Styela clava: one gene and its partners. The protein of the gene in region 3 interacts with the protein of the main gene of each other region in a pairwise test. Links are inferred from orthologs where the notes say so. Each region holds a gene or a part of one and is shown on either strand. Other genes may lie near its edges. The genes, in order: peroxisome biogenesis factor 10-like, peroxisomal biogenesis factor 19-like and peroxisome assembly protein 12-B-like.

Evidence for each region.
Region 1: the proteins of peroxisome assembly protein 12-B-like (region 3) and peroxisome biogenesis factor 10-like interact in a two-hybrid assay, tested with the Homo sapiens proteins (4 studies listed by BioGRID, with this or other methods). The link is inferred for Styela clava from reciprocal best matches to the Homo sapiens genes PEX12 and PEX10.
Region 2: the proteins of peroxisome assembly protein 12-B-like (region 3) and peroxisomal biogenesis factor 19-like interact in a two-hybrid assay, tested with the Homo sapiens proteins (4 studies listed by BioGRID and IntAct, with this or other methods). The link is inferred for Styela clava from reciprocal best matches to the Homo sapiens genes PEX12 and PEX19.

The regions. Positions count from the first base shown.
Region 1 is NC_135257.1:20,076,393-20,082,907, reverse strand, and holds peroxisome biogenesis factor 10-like, read left to right. Parts: upstream 1-4,907; 5' UTR 4,908-5,049; coding exon 5,050-5,943; 3' UTR 5,944-5,984; downstream 5,985-6,515. Other genes in the region: phosphomannomutase 2-like, read right to left, coding at 3,581-4,354.
Region 2 is NC_135254.1:4,399,257-4,406,981, forward strand, and holds peroxisomal biogenesis factor 19-like, read right to left. Parts: upstream 3,008-7,725; 5' UTR 2,990-3,007; coding exon 2,867-2,989; intron 1,826-2,866; coding exon 1,597-1,825; intron 1,080-1,596; coding exon 388-1,079; 3' UTR 250-387; downstream 1-249. Other genes in the region: uncharacterized protein LOC120332725, read right to left, coding at 3,560-3,835; uncharacterized protein LOC120332696, read right to left, coding at 6,371-6,581. UniProt on the Homo sapiens protein: Necessary for early peroxisomal biogenesis. Acts both as a cytosolic chaperone and as an import receptor for peroxisomal membrane proteins (PMPs).
Region 3 is NC_135261.1:12,937,337-12,945,089, forward strand, and holds the start of peroxisome assembly protein 12-B-like, read right to left. Parts: upstream 3,092-7,753; 5' UTR 2,980-3,091; coding exon 2,842-2,979; intron 2,282-2,841; coding exon 1,791-2,281; intron 1,160-1,790; coding exon 1,039-1,159; intron 330-1,038; coding exon 235-329; intron 1-234. Other genes in the region: protein AMN1 homolog, read right to left, coding at 3,863-4,111, 4,582-5,133; manganese-dependent ADP-ribose/CDP-alcohol diphosphatase-like, read right to left, coding at 6,239-7,270. UniProt on the Homo sapiens protein: Component of a retrotranslocation channel required for peroxisome organization by mediating export of the PEX5 receptor from peroxisomes to the cytosol, thereby promoting PEX5 recycling.

The DNA of each region.
Region 1 (6,515 bases), on a different chromosome or scaffold from region 3:
CGAAAAGACAGCTTGATCAAGTGACGGGCAAGGAGTTTCGCGAGATTTCAATTCAGGTCCGATTAGGGTAAAGATGATCTATGTGCGTGAGCCTCGGTTATAGTGGTAAGGGTAACCATCCGGCAATTCTGGGAGTCGCCCACGACAGCGGGGAATCCAGCGGTCATCCCCTGCGTAACAGCGCTATGCAGGGTAACCATATGTCCCATAACCATTGCCCATCTCTAACGCTAATATTAATCCTGGTAATTAGGTGGGTAACTTTGACGGATTTGCAAAATTGAATATCTACCTACGTGTGACAGGCGGCAAACTTAGATACCTGTGCAGTGTTTTAAAAAACGCAGGTTGATGTGTGATCAATTTTAGGTCGTTCAAATTCGTTAATGCGAAAATATGTTGGGTGACTTTCCGGGTAGGCCTTTAAATTAAATTGGGCAATGTAAATAAACCTCGCATTTGCATTTTAATCATCTTACTTGGAGATGAGTGGCCGCTTCCGATCAGCTTGTCAGTTGGCCCTGGGGACAACTGCATATAGTTTTTACGATGCACATGGAGGAGGAGATAAAACAAATACCATCAGTAAATGATTGAAAAATATATATACATGGTGTTCATATTGTCCCTTTTCAACTTTGTTATAAAGTTAATCAAGTTTGTTGTTTTATACTTACTTCATACAATACATCCGAGGGCCAAACCAATATATGACATCAATAAACTCCCTTTGCAATTTTAAAATTTTTCAAGCCTTCATGGGTAGGATAGGATTTACATATTTATCCCGGGGGAGTGGAAAGCCGATAGGACGGCTTATCCATATGGCGAACCACGGCCTCTCGTCCGGTTACCATTTCAAGTCGGGTATGGGATTAGTTTTTACTGTATTGTTTGTTTTCGGAAGCATGGACTTGGTGGTGGAGGAAGCCGTAACCGACCAGCGGTTACGTGAACCACCCAACGACGGCGAGGAGTCCAGCAATCCTCTCGCACATAACCATCCCTGCATGGGATTCGAACCCGCGAACCCACGCAGAGTAATTAGAGGTGCGGTGGCGAGCGTATTCCTAACGCTTAGCCCGTTGAGCCACACCGCCGCGGAAGGAAGATTCTATTGAAAGGAAGATTTTATTGAAAACATATTGCCAAGCTGATTATAGTTGGGGTCAAATGCCAAGTTGCCCAACCAAAGTTGCCAGAATTGGGTGCATGAAGAGGTGGGCGAGACCAAAGATGCATGAACTTGATAGCGAACGCAGTCGTGAGCAGAGGCGAGCCATGAATTTTCAAAGGGGGGGGGGGGAGGGGGGTCCAAAATTTCCAATTGCTCAATTAGACCGCAACAGCTAGTGGATTCGGCCGAATTCCCGAAAACGTAGGTTTTCAAGAGTATTGAGAGTCTAAAGTGCGTCCTAAGTTACGAAGAGAATTGCTACGTATGGTACAGAAGAATGTTTTCATTTATATATCAAAGAAATGAGGGTCGTTTGTGCAGTAAATGCGAAAAAAGCCTCACCCTTACTGTAACACACAGAAGCAAAGACATTTGCGATATTAGACAAACCTTAAATCCTATATAAACCAACACACAGCAGCTTTTGGCATCTCAATGGTTGCCCGTAACTTTGCTTATAGATGAGTCACATTTTCTCTCTACCTCAAATAAAAAAAAAATATATGAAATACTCGCGTGCACTTCATGGATGTCAGGTGGATAACTATTTCCCGGCTTTAGAAGACCACAAAATTGTTCACTATTTCATATAAAAGCTTTATTCCAGTAGAAAATTCACTGCATCAAGAAACTACTTTTAAAATTGCAATATTAAACAATGTTAAAATATTACAAACAAAGTAAGCAACGAAGTACGACTCAAGAATAATCTCTTCCAAGTGCACAAAAGAAAGCTGCATGTCACCATCCATTTATTTCAATGTTCAAGCGTGGATTACGTTACTACTGTAACATTTCAGAACTGGGGCACAATTAGGGATGACATTCAATAGGATATTGCTTAGATCTATATGGCAATACTGATAGTTATTGAGATCTTAATTAAACTCCGGAAGAGCCTCAATTGTACAGTGACCCATTGCTTCCATTAGTTTAGGTTTGAAATGTGGCTGGGTACCGCAAATTTCACATCCCAAGGCATGATCTTTTCAAAATAGCACCATTCAGCTAGGAATTACCCATACAAGTTGGTAAACATAAATATAATACTAATGTCAATGATGGGCAATTCAGGAAAATTGAACATGGAGGATTAGAATACCAAAGACATCTTATGATCATATCCGGATTAAAAAGCCAATGAATTAAAACTTCCCAGAATAATTCCATCCAAATAAACCAGGCCATCTTTTCAGTACACTGTGAATGTTCGCAAATTCTACAAATTTTATATTATTTAATAAAGTTGCTACATATAAAGTGGAGATATAAAAGCTACCAGCATTTCTCAAACTATTTTTGTTCCGGTACATCTATGACCAATTCAGTCGCAATTTTGATTCTTGTCCCGCAGTATTGCGAAAAAGCTTGCTGAACATAGTTTGAGAAACGCTGAATTAGTGCATAACAATCAAGCGTATACTTGATAAATTTAGATGTTGTCTGCGTAGCCACGAAGCAGAACATTCGAAATGGGCAACAATCAACAAACATTAGCTATATGATTATTCAATAAGCAATTCAAAGTTTATCAAGTGAAAAAAGTTGGTATGAATACAAAAAAGTCACTCGTTCGAAAATAAAATTGTTCTCAGTTACAATCTATTGAAAATAAAATCAATAAAAAAATCTGACTATTACCAATAAAAACAATGCTATGGGATCAGTAATTAATTACTCAAGAAAAGACCCAAGGTGAAAACTGCCTCAGCTTGAATAGCATGTGTGTCTCTTCTATTCGAGTCGAAAATATTATCCTTGATTAGTTGAGACATGATGCAACAGTTGAGGTTATTTTATCTTAAATAAATTACAGACATGTTTTATCTCTTTGTTATTTCGCTGCTTGATAACCAGCTTTGGTTACAGCTTCCCTCCCCAGTACATTGTGTGTTAAATTTTGCAAGCTATTTTTATACTGGATGAAGAAACTAAACTTGACGAGTGACCATTTTCAGCAAACGATAACACACGCAATAAAAAATACAACTAAAGAACAGACTTCATTTAAAGTTAAACCATAAGTAGAAAAAATAAGGTGTGAGTTATAATGTTATACTGCAATGAAGCGGAAGCGGTAACACCCAAGTGCAGAAGTACAGTCCATCAAAAGTGGAGCAATTCTGACGAAAGTTATGGTCTGTATTCTTCCAATTCCAAGAACCAATGGTTCCTTGATATTTGAATTGAAATTATTACAGACATACTAAAACAGAATTGTAGCCAAATATGACAATATCTTTCAGCTCTTATTTTTCATAGTTCTACCAGGTTGAGGTACAAATATATTACTTACCTAATTAATTAAACAGCTGATAATCAAGGTGTTCAAAAACTCTTGGTACAATTTTGTTATGAACCAAATTTTCAATATATCTCATACAGGTATATATTTTCTAGATATCACTGTGACATTGTTTTGAGCAAGCTCTCAACCTGCTCTCTTGTGTTTTCTGGTGAAGTGACTGTTTTCCCAATTGTTTTCGGGTCTTCAAAAATTTCGTGATCATTCCCACCTGGCATTGTTTTGTCACCAAAGAAATAAATTTTCTTAAAATTTTCATGTTCAATATGTTTTAGACAATAACGCTTATCCCAACCATCTGGAAAAACATCAAAACTAATCTGTCCACCAATGGAAAATGTCATTCCCTTGCCTTTAAACTCTTTACGTAGAGTTTCAACAAAGTCTTTGCGGATATTGTGCTTCTTGTCATACTCAAAGAAATCTACTCGTTCTTGCTGTGAGCAGCTACGTCCAACAGGGCATACATTGAGCATACCCTTCCTGAATTCAATAAAAGTCCCTCGTTTTAGTGGCAACTCTAAATTTGCCATGTATTTGAGACAGAAGTTGATAAACTTTTGAATAAGCTCTTCACCTAGATGAGATTGTATATTCGCTTCATGAATAAGTTTCCCATCTTTGTAGGCAACAAGTCCATTCTCTGAGAACAGATAGTCATAGCTATTTGCAACTTCATCAGCAGAAGATCCAAGTTGTTCGGTGATTTTTGAAAGATCGGAACCGCCAACAATTCCAACAACGACTTTTTTGCGAATCTGGCGCATGAACTCTTTCATTTCATTGGAAATTTTTTGCCTAGGCGCTGTGAGAGTTCCATCAACATCAAAAAGGAATATAACGTCTGTATTTCTGCATGTCATATCGCCCATTATACTTTATCTAGCACCCAAATTCTGAAATTACAGCCAAAAACTTGCGATCGCTGGCAAAATAGAATAGGTTATTCCTGTCGACGTGTTTGGCATAACGTGTGATCGAATTTGATTGGTTGCCTGGGGGTACACGCCCACGAAGCTCAATCGACCGAAGAATTTTGATTTTCAGTAAAACACATTTCTGTAAAATATTCTTTTGAAAAATATAATTCTAGAATATGTTACAATTTTAAATTAATGAAGTAAATACAAAAACGAGTAAATAAAAATACAAAACAACGTATCATTTATTTTCGGTCTGCAATTGTTCTATTTAGTCAAACCGTGGTTGTGGTTATTTTGTGAAGTCCGATGCATTGTTTTCATTCCTGTCTGGGTGAAGATATAATTTCAGGATAGGATTTTCATGATATTTACATTAAATAACAATTTTTCATGTTATAAGTAAATAAATTAAACAGGCAAATTGAAAAAATATAAAATTGAGCATCGTTCGGTCTGCAATTGTGATGTTTAGTTAAACCGGAGGTATGATGATCTTGCAAAGTCGACTGCTCTGACTTTATATCTCTTCGTTTGTTTTGCTTGCAATTCATAAATTACAGAATTATGCTAAGCTGTATGTAAGATTTGTTCTGGCATTGCGCGGTAGCAATTTTTCCCACCATTTTCGCCTATAAGAATCAGAAATGTCTCTCACGCCTTCAGAATCGTTGGCTCAAATCTCCTCTGCACAAAAAGACGAGTTTTACCTCAATTATCTTAGAGGTCTGTTCAACGATGGCACGAAAAAGATTTTCGGGCCACAAACAACAATAAGATGGAACAAAGAAATCCAATTACTGTCGGATATGGCTTATTTTGGACTCACAACTTTGGGAGACTTGCAGACATTAGGAGAGGAATACACTCAAATTATTCAAGTTGGTCCCACAATGAACCGGCTGCCAAGTCGTTTTAGTAGACTTATAATGATTGCTCTTCATACTTTATTACCATATTTAATTGACAAATTTCTATGCCATCTTGAAAACAAACTTGCAAAAAGCGAACATTTACATAATCATACAAATTTGCAAGATATGGTACAAAAAGTGCGATTAATTTTCAATGTTTTAAACCGTTTACATTTATCTGCCTTCTATTTGCAAGGGATATATCACACCATGTCAAAACGATTTGCTGGCATTCAATATGTAAAATATAACCTCCCTGGAATGTCACAGCAGCCTGAAAGCTCGGCTTTTAAGCTACTAGGTTATATGTCCTTAGTACAATCATTGATCGCACTAGCTATGCATGTTATTTCTATTCGCAATGATTTAAAGCCAGTAATAAGCAATAGCGAAGCTGAAAAATTTGGCATCAGTCATTCAAGTAAAGCTTCCATAATTGAAGAAGACAAACCCGATATGAAATGTAGTTTATGTTTAGAAAAGAGAAATCGTACAACTGTGACCCCTTGTGGGCATTTATTTTGTTGGAAATGTATTCATTCCTGGATAAATACGAAACCAGAATGTCCGATTTGTAGAGAAAGCTTGAAGCCAAATAAACTTGTTTGCTTAATGAATTTTGAATGAGTATTTAGCGCCAGATACAATAATTCACTATTCTGAATCTGTCCCCAAAATAGATTGCGTTTTAATATCACAGACATATATTGCAATGCTCACCAGCTTAAATCCTTATTGGAAAGTATCTCATGTGTTTTTAAGTTATATTCTATAGGCTATCACTTGTGTTTGTGTCATTTGTGGCTCGAAAATTTTGTGTCCTGATTGTCCAATGCACCCAGGTGCAACATTTTTGAGACACCCTATTTTTTGTGCCAAGATGAAGTTATCTCTCTGTATTAATAAATTATCTGTCTATTGAACATAAAATATATTCTAAAACCTTCGAGAATGCTCAATCATCATAAATTGCCAATTCTGATTTTTCAAGTGTTGATCAGCATAGCCAATACCAATTTTGTTGTTCAAATTATTCAAAATCATCACGAAGTTTGGTGATTTACTGTGTAAATATAACCAGTGTATTCTAATGGGTGGTTCTGAGCTTCCCACACCTTTAAAAGGTATCTGAGAATCACATTTTTGTAATATGATAACTTGTAGGTTTCTGAAACACCCACTTCAATGACTGCTCTCAC
Region 2 (7,725 bases), on a different chromosome or scaffold from region 3:
CCTGTAAAACCTTTCAGAACTGTGGAGATCGGCATCATTTCTAGCATTATAGTGGTATTCAAACTGAATAAAACCATCATCCCGCTAACTTTTTTTACTGAGTCATCAGAATGGGAGTCTTCTTTTTTCCCAAACAACTTTTTAGTCCCATGATCTTTTTAGGTGGGTGTCGACACCGTCAAACAAGGCTTCAATCCCATTTCAACTCAAACCAGCGATACAAATTTGAAAAATAAATCTGGCAACACACTTATAGTTGACAATCATCTTGTTTAAAAAATTATATCAGTGTTAATGAAATGAAATTTAAATGAAGCAAATTGAAACACATTAATAATTATCAATAAATAATCAATTGAAAATATTTAAAAATAATTAGAAAATTAATCACATAATTGCACAATTTTCAGGATTCATATCTGGCCCAAACATGTTCCCGCCACCTGGGAATCCCCCTCCTCCAGCCCCAAATATTCTGCTCATGTCCATGGGTGTCTCCCCACCACATTTTTCTAATAATTCCTGGGGAGGGTTGCCACATTCTTGCATTTTTTCTACCAAAGCCATAAGTTCGTTCAGCCTTTGCTTTTTCACTTCTTTGGTGTCATTTTCATTATCGGCCTCGAAATTTTTACAAATTTTAACGATAACAAGACTTTGCTGCTCATAGCGCTTGAAGTCTGTTTCAGGTACTTTATCCTTGTTAGACTCTAACCAGCCAGGGTATACCTCCGAAATTTGTTTCATTGTGGGATACAAAACGTCTTTAGACAATAAATTCTCCATCATGTTTTCCATCATAGAGATAAAATTATTCTCCATCCCTTCCATGTCCCCCATTTGACCCATCATGTCACTCAACCCTCCCCCCATCCCTAAATTTCTCATTTCTTGGAGCAGTTTTTCCTCTTCGGTAGCACCTGTCATATTCTTTAGTTCATCAGCGCTACTCCCAATTCCAGAAATTGTGTCTTCCATCACTTTGTTCAAATCTGCAGGGCTAGCTTGTCGTTGACCTGCGCTGCTTCCAGATGGCCCGGTATTGCTTGAAGAACTCATTGCAGAAGGCACGGCACCCCCTAAAAAATATAACAAAAGACAAAATAAACATTAGATTTGAACAGGGTAGTAAAAAAGGCCCTATGATGCCTAGAGCGCTGTACCTAACTACCAGTATGTTAGCATCGCAGATTGAAATCTTGGATTAAAACACCATTGTCGCCTCTTATTGGTGTATAAAGACAAATTTCCTTCATTAGACTCAATTTAAATATCTTGGCTATCTTGCCCAGAGAGCCAATTTCCTGAGGCATAATTGGGGGCCTCCCCCAGTGTGTTGTAGCATAATGTCCCCAAGTTGAACCTATGTATAATGGGATAGCAGCTTATTTATATAGAATCGATAGGTTCCAAACCCATATCAGTTTTTTGCCATATCTAGGAGAGGCAGCGAACAAAAGACACTGAAGCGGATAAAGCACACTGAACCAAACTATGTGCTAATGGTGTCATCAAATGGTGTTTATTGAACTAAATGTCAGGGCATCTTGAAATTGGAGAACTGATACTGATATATATCATTTGTTCATATCATACCTGACGCAGCATTTTCCATAGTACTTGGAAGATTCTTCAACTGTGACGCAAGTTCTGGGTCATCATTAACTAATTCTTTCATTGCGGATTCCCACTCTTGTTGAAGTCTTTGAGAAACTTCATTGTCAAAAAATTGATCAAATATTTCTGATGGAGGGGGCACGCTCACATTCTGAGAGGTTGAAGACGAGGGTGAACTGGCAGGAACATCTTTTGGAGGTTCTAAAGACTGAATATAAAAATATTGTTTTACAGACATTTCTACAGTTTTACTTTGAGGAAACTAATAAAGGTCCTTATTATAAAAGAAGCCGATTCAAAAGAAAAATCGCTACTCGTCGCATCTTTGGATCTTAAATTCAACCTCCATATCCATCAATACAACCAGAGGGTTTTATAAATTTCCAAACAGATAGTATTCTGGTTTTTTCAAAAGTCATTGTGCCTTTTGCATGTCACAGAATGCTTGTTTTAAAGCCTTTAGAGAAATAGCAGCTCAGTACCGGTTGGAGGTGCAGTTCTTACCACTTCATGGCAACTCCTGCCACGAACGAACTGCGGCAGCTCTTGCCATGGCTTTATAGCGCTATTCAGTATTAACGGTATATTCACAAATTAATGTACCAGATTTAATTGATCATGCGGAATTATATCTACTACTACCCCAACCCCAAATCCATCCAAACTGTATCCATAAGAAAAACATTCCAACTTACCCAATATTTGTCACCATAAGGAACTGCCCTGCCTTCACGGCCCACCTGCCGTGGTTACGGCAGCAAAATTTTACCTGCCATTGGTTTTCAATTTGCTGCCGCGGCAATGGCAGCCTGTCATTGGTTTGTGGCAGCTAGAAAGTTAGTCGCCATGGGTTTGGCCGTAGCGGCCATCATCAGCAGGTGGGCCGTAAAGACAGGGCTGTCCCTTATGGTGATAAATATTGGGTAAGTTGGAACGTTTTTCTTATGGATAGTTTTGATGGATTTGGGGTTAGGGTTAGGGTTTGAGTAGATATAATTTCGCATGATCAATTAAAATTGGGTATATCAATTTGTGAATATACCGTTATAACTGAATACTGAATAGCGCTATAAAACCATGGCAAGAGCTGCCGCGGTTCGTTTGTGGCAGGAGCTGCCATGGAGTGGTAAGAACTGCGCCTCGCATCATCCCTGGCCATGTTTGGAGTAAAAGGTGCCATACAAAAGAGGTGCAAAGAAAACTGTGCATAAAAAAATGGTTCTCCAAATTCATTCTATCAGCATTTTACCTTCGAAGAACCTGGTGAATTTTTTTTCTCTTCACTTCCTTCTACAGGTACTTTTACTTCTGTTGGCTTTTTATCAAAGTCAGACAAAGCATCGTTCAGCAAATCATCTAAATCCGCATCCATTATTATTTAATTATTTTTGACTAAAAAGACACAAAAAGAAAATTACAGGAAAATAATTTAGAACTGATTCAAACTCAGAAAGTACATTTTGTAACAATGATCGGATCGTTGGTAACACAGATTGGAAATGACAACAAAATTACATGGCCATGAGGAATTATAAAATGGGGTCTAGTCTCCAAGTGTGGTACACTGTCAGACTGTACACTATAGGAGACGCTATTTTTCAAAAGACAATAATGGCTTAGTTAAATTAACACAATTTGACCTCAAAATAACCTGGGAGTCAAAAAGCGAAAAATAGCAGCACTGACACATTTATTTTCAGGCAAGAATATTCTGATCAGTCACGCCTTGGTGGTTCCAAATCGTGTCAAAGTCTGAATGAAGCTGACCAAACCTGACATAAGTATCGCAGAACATACGGAAAATACACTCATATTTAAACATTTTGGATTCAGACAACAATTAATGATCTCAGGAGGATATAATTTCAAGTAGCAAAAAGGCTTTTATCCTGACTTTCAATTTCCTAAAAGGTTGAAATGTAATTAGGTTTTTCAAAAATGATTACTGTTTTTGAGAGCTCATTCTCTGCCTTATAAACTGGTCAGATTCTAAAAACCTTTCAGCACAGTTTGTGAGACATGTTTCTTGTCTTCCAAGGCTGTTTCCAACTCTATCAACACATATATTCCAACAGTCTGATGTCAGTTTATTGACGATGACCTTCAATTGGTTTTGCGCTTCCATTTTCTGTTGTTCTTCTATCAGCATTCTTGCAAGATCTGGATTATTTTTCAGCTGTTCCGTGACATCCTGCAAAGCGTTTGCATCAAAATCCATTTTAAACGTTTTTTCTTCACTTTAAACACGTAGAAGTAATCAATATTTTGAAATAATGCAGCAATAACGACAAAATATAACAGATTGCAGGTGAGTAAATCGCGTAGCGAGTAATGTTTTGCAATGAGGTGAAATATCCGATCGAGCGTTGGTATTGTGCAGGAGTGGCTCCGGATGAAATCCGGAACCTGCATGAAAATGTCTCCATAATATATATTTATACTCGCAATTAATTCTGTTGAGCCTGAGATTTGCAAAGTTATGCATTTTTTTTTAAATTGTAGGGTACCAAATAAATTCATGTCTGGTTTGAAATCTATAGATTTTGAAGATTGCACACTTCGGGGGCACATTCTAGGGGTACATGTCGCACAACTGTATCTTAGACCAGTAAGGTCTTGAACATGTATCTATCCCGTCTCTGTTTTACTGTTTAATTATTATGCAGACACTGTTACATTTTTGAGGCAAATAAACATACATACATACATTTTTCTGTTTCCTTATTATAACGACCACGACTAAAATTGAATTTGCATATATATATATATATCCAGGGTGGGAGGAAAGGAATGAGACGACTTAACGGCTTAATCATGTGACGAACCACGGCCACTCGTCCGGTTACAATTCCATGTCGGGTATGGGATTAGTTAGTCAGTTATTTGTTTCGGATGCATGGACTTGGTGGTCGAGGAAGGCGTAACCAACCAGTGGTTCGGTGAAAACCACCCTTATGTGAACAACCTACGGCAGCGAGAAGCCCAGCAATCCTTTATCCCCACACAGGGTAATCAGAAGTGCGGTTGAATTCCGAGCGCTTAGCCACACCGTCTATTTACCTATACCTACTTCAACTATATTTGGGAGCCCAAATGTGACAGTGCAATTCTGAAACGATATGCGCTTGTATGTCTTGCAGAAAGTGCTACTTGCAAGCACAATATTTACGAGACGAAGTTCATTTTACATACATTTATGCTGGAAATAATTTTTCATTGATCTAAATGCTTTTTCTTGTTCCAATCTTTCAGGTGACGGAAAATGACAAGGAGGTAAACCAATACTAATAATGGGTTGAAATACCCCTTCTTATCATATCAGTCCCTCTTAAGGGTGAGAGGTAAATTACCATCACACCTCTGACTACAAGAGTTCATGGATTCAAATCCTGATCCACAGTGCTGCCTATTACTTCACCTTTGTAGATTTGTTCACAAACTGCAACCATCGAGTCAATGCATGTGAAAAAGGTAATGGTGAACTACAGCAGTGCAAGATATGGTTGGGACTGTTAACCATATGGGAAGCTGATGTTTGAAAGATTTTATACCTCTTTTGAAGATAAATATAAAAATTCCCTTTTATCTACCTTATTTGTTTCGGCATCCCCATTAAAAAGCCCAAAATCAACAGACCATGAAGCATATTAGCATAGCATTTTTAATTTAATTTTCACCTGCTATTAATAATTGCACATGCATATTTTTGTATTATCAGAATATGAAATAGAATTGATTTGTTCTTTCACTGCACAAAAGCAATTGCATTAACATAATTAAAACCATAGAAATATATACTCAGTAACAATATTTATTAATAATCGACTATATATGATACACTGTGGGTATAATTAATAGAATAAATGTAATGAGGCAAATTGGTGATAGCTGTATTATATTTAGTGCAATTTATGCAGAAATGGGATAGTTTGAAATGAAAAAAGGAATATGCTACAACTAAGTTTGTCTTTATTAAAAAATCTCGTAGATTTGCTCATTTCCACACGGGAGAAGACAGTATTTGAATATGCATAGTGAATATTGGGTGAAATTTCAGTCCATTATGAAAATGCAGTTACAGGTTTTCATATATTTTTTACACTTACAGAAATCATTGATATAACGAAAAAGAATTTTCGTAACAGGGTTTGATTTGTCAGCCTTATATTGGCGATGCCGACAAAGGTTGCGAGTGTTAATAAAATGGTTGACATATATCAAGAAATGACTTCATAACGAAATGGAAATTGTGACAAGACTTTATGGACACCAACCCTGGCTCACAGAAATCACAATACATGCAAAAGTCTGATTCAAGTTATAATCACAAAGTCTTAAAAGGCACTTGATCAAAAGTAAAATATACATAGGCACTACTCAACAAATATCAAAGGGCTGTCAACCAATGTAGAGTAAAGAGTTTACTCTGGGGAAGAAATTATTATTCCTAAATATTGAAGTTTAGCTCGGACTTTATAAATTAATATATTAAACAGTTAAACCATATATGAAACAGCACAAGAGTTAATTTTATTAGTTAAAAAAAACAGTGAAATTCTAAATTTCATTTAACCACCACTTTGAAAAATCTTTTAATCATCTCAGATTCAAGCGGCTGCTATACAAAAAACAATTAAAGGCAAATACGCAAACAATAATTTTCACCATAAATTTCAAGCACCAAAATTGGGTATATTTGGAACTAACAGGTCCCCAGTTAAAATGATATACCCTGTTATAACATTACACCTTTCTAATTACAAGGCAATTTATATTCAATATAATCGGCATAATTTTCATTCAAATATGTTACCACAGCATTTTTTAGCTGCATCAAATCATTTTCACTATTATATATATTGATTGTGGGACGGATTCTAAATTGGTCGTTATAAACTGAAATTGTAACTTGGGTTTTGTGAAATTTGAAGATGTCTTTAGTCATCACGTCTGCTTCAGTGAGCCTAAAAAATAAAAATAATATTATTAGTTTAAATTTATTTAATAAAAAAATTTTCATGTTGAAGAACTGGGATGATTTAAATCAGTTGTTCTCAAACGATGGGCCACAATTTTTTGAGGGGACGTAAGTTAATTGGAAATATAAATAGGTTAGATTTGATCTTGCTCGCCTTATTTTGGATATTTAGATTCTTTTATTTTGGTTATTTGTGTTTCATCCATATTTTCAACGTGTTTTTGAATAAAACATACTATCGCCTTACTATCTGATATTTGAAGCTTATCGTTAGCTAGTATTTTTCAGGTGGGGCGCAAGACTTGACAAATTCTAAAAAAGGAGCGCGGCTTAAAAAGTTCGAGAACCACTGATTTAAATTGAGACCTTATTGATAGCAGAAAGATCAACTACCCCAGGTTTTAGCCCCGTGTAACCCATAGTGGGAGAAATAAGGTGAGCTTTGATATGATAAATGGAAAGATTCAGCTTCAGAAGGTTGCTTATCTAAATCCTTGTTTAGAGCAAAGAAGCAAATGTATTTATTGTCTAGTTTTCTAGGTTCAATTTGGACTCTATAATTCGAAGATAAAGATTGATGAGGGTTCCTCTAATTGATGCTTTTAAAACTATACCGAATGACAAAGCAGATTTGAATGGCATGACTTCATAACAGATGAATTTTAGACATTTTTTAGGCTTTTTCGTAAGATTCTTATTAGATGGTTGGTCCAACATCTATTAAAAACAGGTTATTCAGAGATGAGAAAAGAGAATAAAAGAAACCCTTTACAATTAAAAAACAATGATTCATGCATATTAAAGGTGAGGGCCAGGATTATTAATTACGAAAGTGAAAATTAATTTCACATTATGAAGTTCTAAAATCCATGCAGTATCCATTTTCCAGGAATAATATAAAATATGTTGTAGTATTCAACCTTTCAAATCACTGTTATAAAATAGGTACCTAATAGTCAAAAATTTTGAATTTCAGAATTTCACTATAGAGTTTATTTAAAAATGAGATTTTTTCAAAATAAATTTCAAGGTATTTTCGAAATGTTCTATCCTTAGTATGCAACAAAAAATGAAATTGCCATTTATCTTGATTTTTTTTGAGTTATGGCTCATTTTTGAACTTCAAAGAA
Region 3 (7,753 bases):
ACTAAATACAGCATTGCACAATGTAGGTCGGATTCAAAATCGAAGCTTATTTCTTTGTTTAGTCACTGGTCTATATCTAAAACTACTGTATCACAAAAAGTGGGAATTGTGAAATTCCTCACTTGGTGAGGTATTTTTCCTGGGTTAAGAACCACTGAACTGAATTAAACTTGGGGAACACCAAAACGATTTGAATTTTAATATGCATGCTTTAATATATAGAAGGAATCAAACCTGTTGCATAGAGGGCAAGTTATGTTGTCCCGAACTGGAATGATTGTTTTGTCGCATGATTCATGCGGCGGAAGAGGAATCGGTGCTTGTGTCAACTAAATAAAATAACTAGGTAAGTATATTATAATACCAATATACAGGAATATTTCGCTGGGGTGAGTATTAGGTCATACTGGCTGAATCAAGTTCTATATCTCAATCTTCTTGGAGTGAAATGTCACTGTTCATATCTGGGCTGTGGAGTGGAGTTGTAATTTCAAATTTTACTGGGTCGTTGTTTCAGACTTGTAATGGTGATGATCGGAGCAAAATTTTTTATATAATTCAGTATGATTTCTCAATAGAAGGCAATCAATGGCTCAAGTTTTTGCTATGAAAATTAGTCTTCTCCGAGCTGAGTCAGCTTCTAATTTTCCTCCAACCTGGGGTCAAAGTCAAAATGAAACAGGGTGTATTTTTCACCATGTATTTTTCACCAGACTCCGTACACGTGGTACATATGACTTTTCATCAAACTGTAGCAGTATTATATGCCCTAAAAAGACACATGCACAAAAAATTGCAAAACACCGCCAATTAAGTTTTTATCACAGCACTTATATCGATATGCTTTGTGTGGAATGAATGAAAAGTTCCATTTTACTTGATACATAACTTTTAACAACCTCAAATTACACACAATACAATAAGGAAGTATGCAGAATTGCTATTGACCTTGTATATTGCTGAACAGATAGGAAGTTAGCATAGTCACTTGCTGCAATGCTATGTATGAAGTATGAATATACTATCCGAATATCTTACCTTTTGCACTGTTGCTTGATTAGCATCATGATAAAACCAGTCTATGAATTGAAGAACAAAGACTCCAGCATGCACTCCACCAGCAATCATCTTTGTCAAAGCTCGGCTAACAACATTCCCGCTATAAAACAAAAGGGTTATTCATTTATTTGTTCCATGGATGATTGTTTAAGTTTATCAAAAAAATTCTCTTATTTTTAAACATCATGCAAAAACAATGTGGATTTTCAGGCAAATTAAACATTGAAAAAGAATCAGACTACCAAAAAGTATGCGCAAGAGGTTTAATAAAATCTAGCCAGCTGGCCAATATACCGTACTAATAATGAGTTGTATTGTTTTATCGAAAAGACTGAAAATTACAATATACAGAGTGATTCAAAATGAACAGAACCCAAGTAATGCGGAACATATACTAGATAGAAAATAACTTTCGTGCAAATCGTCCTAGATTATCATATCCTTAGAAACTTTTGGGTACAATCATAAATAAACATATGTTTACGTGTTGAATATATTTTCTTCATTTTAGTAGAATTTTCAAAGAAATTTATAGATTCCTTTTTTTCTGTTACGTATAGAAAATGCAAGCAACCCCATAAAGCTGAAGTAATGAAGTTTGTGTTCAGAACAAGGTTTTGTTTTCACCATATCTGAATACCTGGATACAAGACATACATATTTTCATATGGGTATCAGATGACTAGAGAAAAGTAAAGTCAAATTTTTCTATAAGTAAAATAACGACATACCTTGCTTGAGAAGCAGCTTGGGGATCTTCGACAACCAGTTTTATTCTCAATAATTTCAAAAATGGATCAGGGTATTTATTTTCATGAATTGCATATTTGAATTGAAGATATAATTTCCAAAATTCCCAAGATGAGAACATAATTGGATATAAACGAAAAATGAGTCTTTCCATAATAGTCACAGTGCATTGATTTCCCTGCGTCTCCCGTCGGTCCGCAATTTTATCATACATTTTCTTTAATTTCTCTTCAATATATGGGATAATACACAGAGTCACCAGGGTCAAAAAATGTCTTCTTGTTCCAAGTGTGTTATGTGATTGCACCTTTAAACCTTTTATTTTCCTTCGTAAGCCGTAATACATTTCTGCATAGGATGCAATGTGAGCTAATAAAAAATGATGTTGCACCAAAAGCTCAATAGCTGTGAAGATTTCATCATACCACGCTAGTAACCAACCAAATCTTGCTGGTTTGTAAGAAGCAAGAACCTTAAAAGAATATTGTTTATTGACAAGCTGATTATGAAGTATGATTGATAATTGGTGTTTAAATACCCTTCAGCATGAAGTTCAGTTTCATTTGATTAATTCAGATTAGGGACTTCAGATACACAAGGTGTCCAAAGTCTCTTCACAATTCAAAGGCTTATCATGATAAACCCTTGAAATTGTACAGATACTATAAGAACAGCCTGCATATGTAAGTACTAGATCAATGCCCATATTTAACAGCTTTTGCATATTATTTCACAACTTGGATACATTTCAGTGATAACTAATCAAATACAATTACCTATATAAAGTTCACATTTTGCGAGAATCGCCCTTTGTAGACACTTTATTTTTTTAAAAGTAGAATGTGTTGTGTAATGAGGGCACACAGCCTTTTAAAATAAACAGACTTTGTCTAAACCAGGCATGACTTCCAGTTACATTTTATCGATTATTATGGTAGAGAGAGTAAGCTTCTCCAAAAACCTGTTTGTCGAAGTAACTCATGATTATGCGAAAAGTAAAAAAATCCGCACCTAAAATCTTATCAAACTTACTTTAGTTAAGTGCTCAAAAGCTGGTCTCACAGAGGCTCGTAAATTTTCTTGAGCTAAAACTTCAAATATTGAAGGAAGTTGATATTCTTCTTGTGTTGCAACAGCTGTTTGTAAAGTTTCAGAAAACATGTCCGCCATGGCTTTAGATTAGAGTTTCATAAGTACAATAAATAATTAGGATTCTTTAATCTACGATCATCTATGAAAATATCAAAACACACAAAATTTACTTGTTTTTGAAAAAATATAAGGGACAAGAAATCATTCACCACAGCTATGCTACATAGTGAGCTACAAAGAGCAATGAGTCTGAGTTTGGCATGTTTTTATTCAAATTGGAGTCGAGGATCCAAACTCTCCTGAAGTTGAAGACAAACAGAGACTTGAATTTCATACCTCTATTGTGATTATTGAAGTCAAAATTTCATAAACTAAACACAAAGCATAAACTAAGAAACATCAAGATGACCAAGCATTCTCAACAGACAATCAGTCAAAATGTGTTTTTCACAGAATTGGGAGTTAGGAACTTAGGAGGAACTCAATAAGTAGACACTGTATTTAGTCAGTATCAATTTTTTGTCAGCGGGGTGTCGGAGTCATTTTTTAAATGTCTTGTTAGCTGAGACTCCACAGCACTACTCTACATTGATAAAACAGATTAATTTTTAAATCTAACAAAAACCTGACACTAAAAACGAAAACAGATGACTCTTCACGAATTCATGAAACTTCCAAGGGCAATATCAGTATTATTTCATTGTAATGATAAATGCTACAAAACTTTGTTTTTGAAGGAGACTCCAAAAAAGCACTGACAACAGTGATTTTACACAGTGATTCAACAATACAGTGATACTGTATTCACCATTTGGGAATACCAAAAAAAACTATATATATATTTATTCCGTAACAGTCGATAAGATAAGTTTAATTATATGATGGTTGGACATAATATGTATTATCACAAATACATTTGGTTCTGGCTTCGCCACACGAGAACAAATTGAGCAAACAATCCTCAATACACTGTCCAAGTCAGTTGCTTCACATTAGAACATTCTCTTGCAAGAAGCTCTTCTAATGCTATTCTCGAATTCTCTGTGATTTTTGGGCATCCATGAAATATCAAAATTCGAATTTTACGACAATACTCGATAATGCATTCAATAGCTTCATCAGTTATATTATGACACAATGCCATATGAAACTCTGTCAATGTGTTGCAACATTTTCCTTTACATATTTGAAACACACCATTATCAGATACCTAAATATAAAAGTTTATACATGTAAGTAAGATTTGTTTACATTTACAATATAACTGTTCTGTAAAATGAGTTTGGAAAATGCAGTACCTAAAATCGTAAATTAATCTTTAAATAATGCAGGCATTTTATTCTATCAAAACGACATATATGCATTTTTTGGCTCATCAGTTTGGTTTCTACTAAATAAAATTCGCACTGGAGTCAGAGGTACAAGATTTCAAAATATAAATAATTCAAATAACTGATTTTTTTCTGAAAACAATCCTCACTTTTAACTATTCTCAGCATAACTAGCTGGAGAAAGAGCCGATGTTCTCATTAACCCGTTGTACCCAGGATAAGATTTTATTCAATAAAGGAAGTTAGTTATATTCTATGACATTAACTGTATAGAAAACCATAGTGCTTGTCCCCTCTTATTCAAACTATCTTGAGAAAAAAAAACATGGTGGACATGTTCCAATTTTACCTTGGTTGAAGAGACATTCAGGCTTTCAAGATTAGGGCAATTCTCAGCAAGCGCTTGTAGACTTCTGTCACTGACACCAGAGCAACCACCAAGATTAAGATGTTTTATGCTTTTACAATTTACAGCTATTTGCACCACTGCTTCGTCACCAATGTTCAAACACCGACGAAGGTAGAAAACTTGAATCCAACGACAACTTCGTGCTATTTTAATAATTCCATCATTAGATATTGTCTTTCGGCTTTCTTTTGCAGAATTTAAATCAATTTTTACCAAGTTTATACATGTTTTTGAGATTGTCGCCAATGCCTCGTCAGTGACATCGCTTTCACTTAAATCAATTTCTTTTAATCTTGCGTGCAAGCAAAATTCTATGTTGGCATCACTTAAAATCCCTCTTTTTGATAAAATATACAAAAGTTTGCTCTTTATACTGGGTGGTAACAACTTGATATCCTCATTATATAAATTAAGATTATGAGCAACAACGTGTAGAGATGTCGTAAAAAGTGAAGAAATTCCACCGAAAACTGTTCTTTGTATATTGATCATGATCCGATGAAATTATTTGGCAACACCTCATGAAAAAACTACAAACAATACATATCCGTCTGGACAAGTTAAAATATAAATCAAACAAGTGCATTTAATCAATCACAACTTGGTACTAGTGATATTTAATTACAGACTATCAATTATTTGGCCATGAAATGTATAAGGCATAAAAACATAATCACTGCAGTACAGCAAAAAATAATATGAATATCTGAAAGACAAGCAAATGCACCATTAAAATCTTGGTTGAGATTATGAACCAAAGCAGAAACCAAGGTAACGGCAGTGGCCAATAAAAAAAAAAAAAGTGACTGAAAGCATCTAACACCCATCAATAGTCTAACCCTAAAAACCCACCCCACTCCTAAAATTAGGCTGAATGATTGTAGCAGTCGCGAGCAATGAAATCCGAAATAAATCAATTGTTCGAATACATTTGAAATTGGTTATATTCTTCATACTATATTCTTCATTTTAGAATTACCAGTAATTTAGAAAATTTAATATTTTTCATTTTGAGCAGCTAATATCTGATGCTCTCGGCAAAAATATCAAAGTTCATTCGAATTGTAAATGTGTTAAGAGAAAAACCAATTACAATGCATCACTGTGCTAAAATTTTCTGGATAGACAAACCCAAATTCATATTGATTTATGACAAAAATTTATATGCTGGACCAAATGACCAAATTTAGAATATATAGTTTTCATCATTTCATATCCAAAAATATTATTCATAATTCATATCGTCTGTGAGGTGCTGTCAATTCCTGCATAAAAGTGAATTGCATAATGCAAATATATGAATTTGAATGGAAATTATCAAATTAACAAATTTAACTTACTCAATATGATCATAAATATGTAAATAAGTCTTTATAATTATTGACTGACAATACACCTTTAGGACAAAATTTTTAGGACTTCAGTTTCAGTTTAAATAACAGTTTTACAGTTACAGTTCGTTGATGGTCTATTAGTAAAAATATTGTTTAATTTTGCATATCAGTAAGAAGTGACATATCTAAAATTTGCTAAAAGTGCGTTATTCCCAGCAATGATAAAAATTGAAATTCATCGAATATAGTACAAAATTATAACTCTATTGCATATTTCTATATTTTAAAGTTTGTGATTTAATGTCACCTTCGCCACGTATTTCCATTTTATCAGCGTAAACATCAATTGTTGCAAATGCAGTTTCATTCCCCCCAATACTTTTGGGAACCGCTTCTAGTGCAGCTTCGAAAGTACAATGATGAACCCCATCTTCATCACAAAAATAAGCCCCTACATGATCATGACCCGCAAAATATGCAACAATGCATGAATAACGATGAATTATATCTAAAATGTCTTGATTATTCCACACCAGACATATTTTACCACCAGTTGCATTTGGGTGTATTGGGATATGGCCGCACAATACAACAATTTCATTATGATTTTGTGAATGTTGTATAATACTTTCGAGCCATTCTAATTGATCCTTATGTACGCCTCCATTATATTTTACATATTTCGGATCAACGGCGCTTGTATGATCATTTTTTTCTTCTTTTGGATTCATTTTGTTTAAAATTTCCATTGCGGTCACTTTTTTTGGATGAGAATTTTCTCTCCCAAGAGCACTGATGTCGTAACAATCAAGAACAATGAAACGAAATCCATTGCCGGGTGTAAAATGATAACAACAAAGTCCATCTTGACGCATTTTCTCGCTTGTATAAAATATGATCTCACCAGAATTTTCACTTGTTTTTGCTGGTTCATTTGTAATAGAAAACCTTGGAAGTAAAACAGATTTCAAAAGATCGTTTCTTCCTAAATTATATAATTCGTGATTTCCCCAACAGTGAGCTATTGGTTTTTTATATTGAATCAAACACTCATATATTTTATTAAGAGCTTCGTTACTTTTTCCATTATTGCGACACATCCCATCTATTATATCTCCGAGTTGTAATACGAAGCAAGTTTGTTCTGAAGTATTCCAGTACTTGATTGCATGTTGTAGACATTGCAAACCTTTTCTATAGTACCGATGTCTTGTTTTGCTGTAGTTCATCCCATCGTCAATGTCTGCATATTGCACATCCGCAATTAATCCAAATGAAAATATTGGGGATGACATTACTATTACACCTACAGAAAATAGTGGATCGTTCAGATTAAAAGTTATTACACAAAACAATATAAAAAGTTGACATGGTTAAATTTTTAAACTACCCAAATCTTTGGTGCATATCAATAAAATACTTGGTTTAATGAATATTGAGATTTTGCTTACACTAATAGAGCTAAAAGTATTTATACTATAATGTACTGTTTAGATATAGTATTCAACTGTCTTACAGAAAACATATTTTATTTTTACATTTGATAGTATTTGGGTTGTTCCTAAGCTTTTGTATCATAAAGATGATTTCTGTAGGATATCACTTTTGGCAAGTGTATTATTTTCTTCTTTCATGGGTGGACAAAAGCTATGTGGCATAATTAATGATGAGTGAAAGTACTCTATTTTATTAAATGATAACAATATTAGAAACTACCATGGTACTGTATGAAATTAGAATGTTACAATGTAAGCCTACATCTAAAATTTTTCATATAA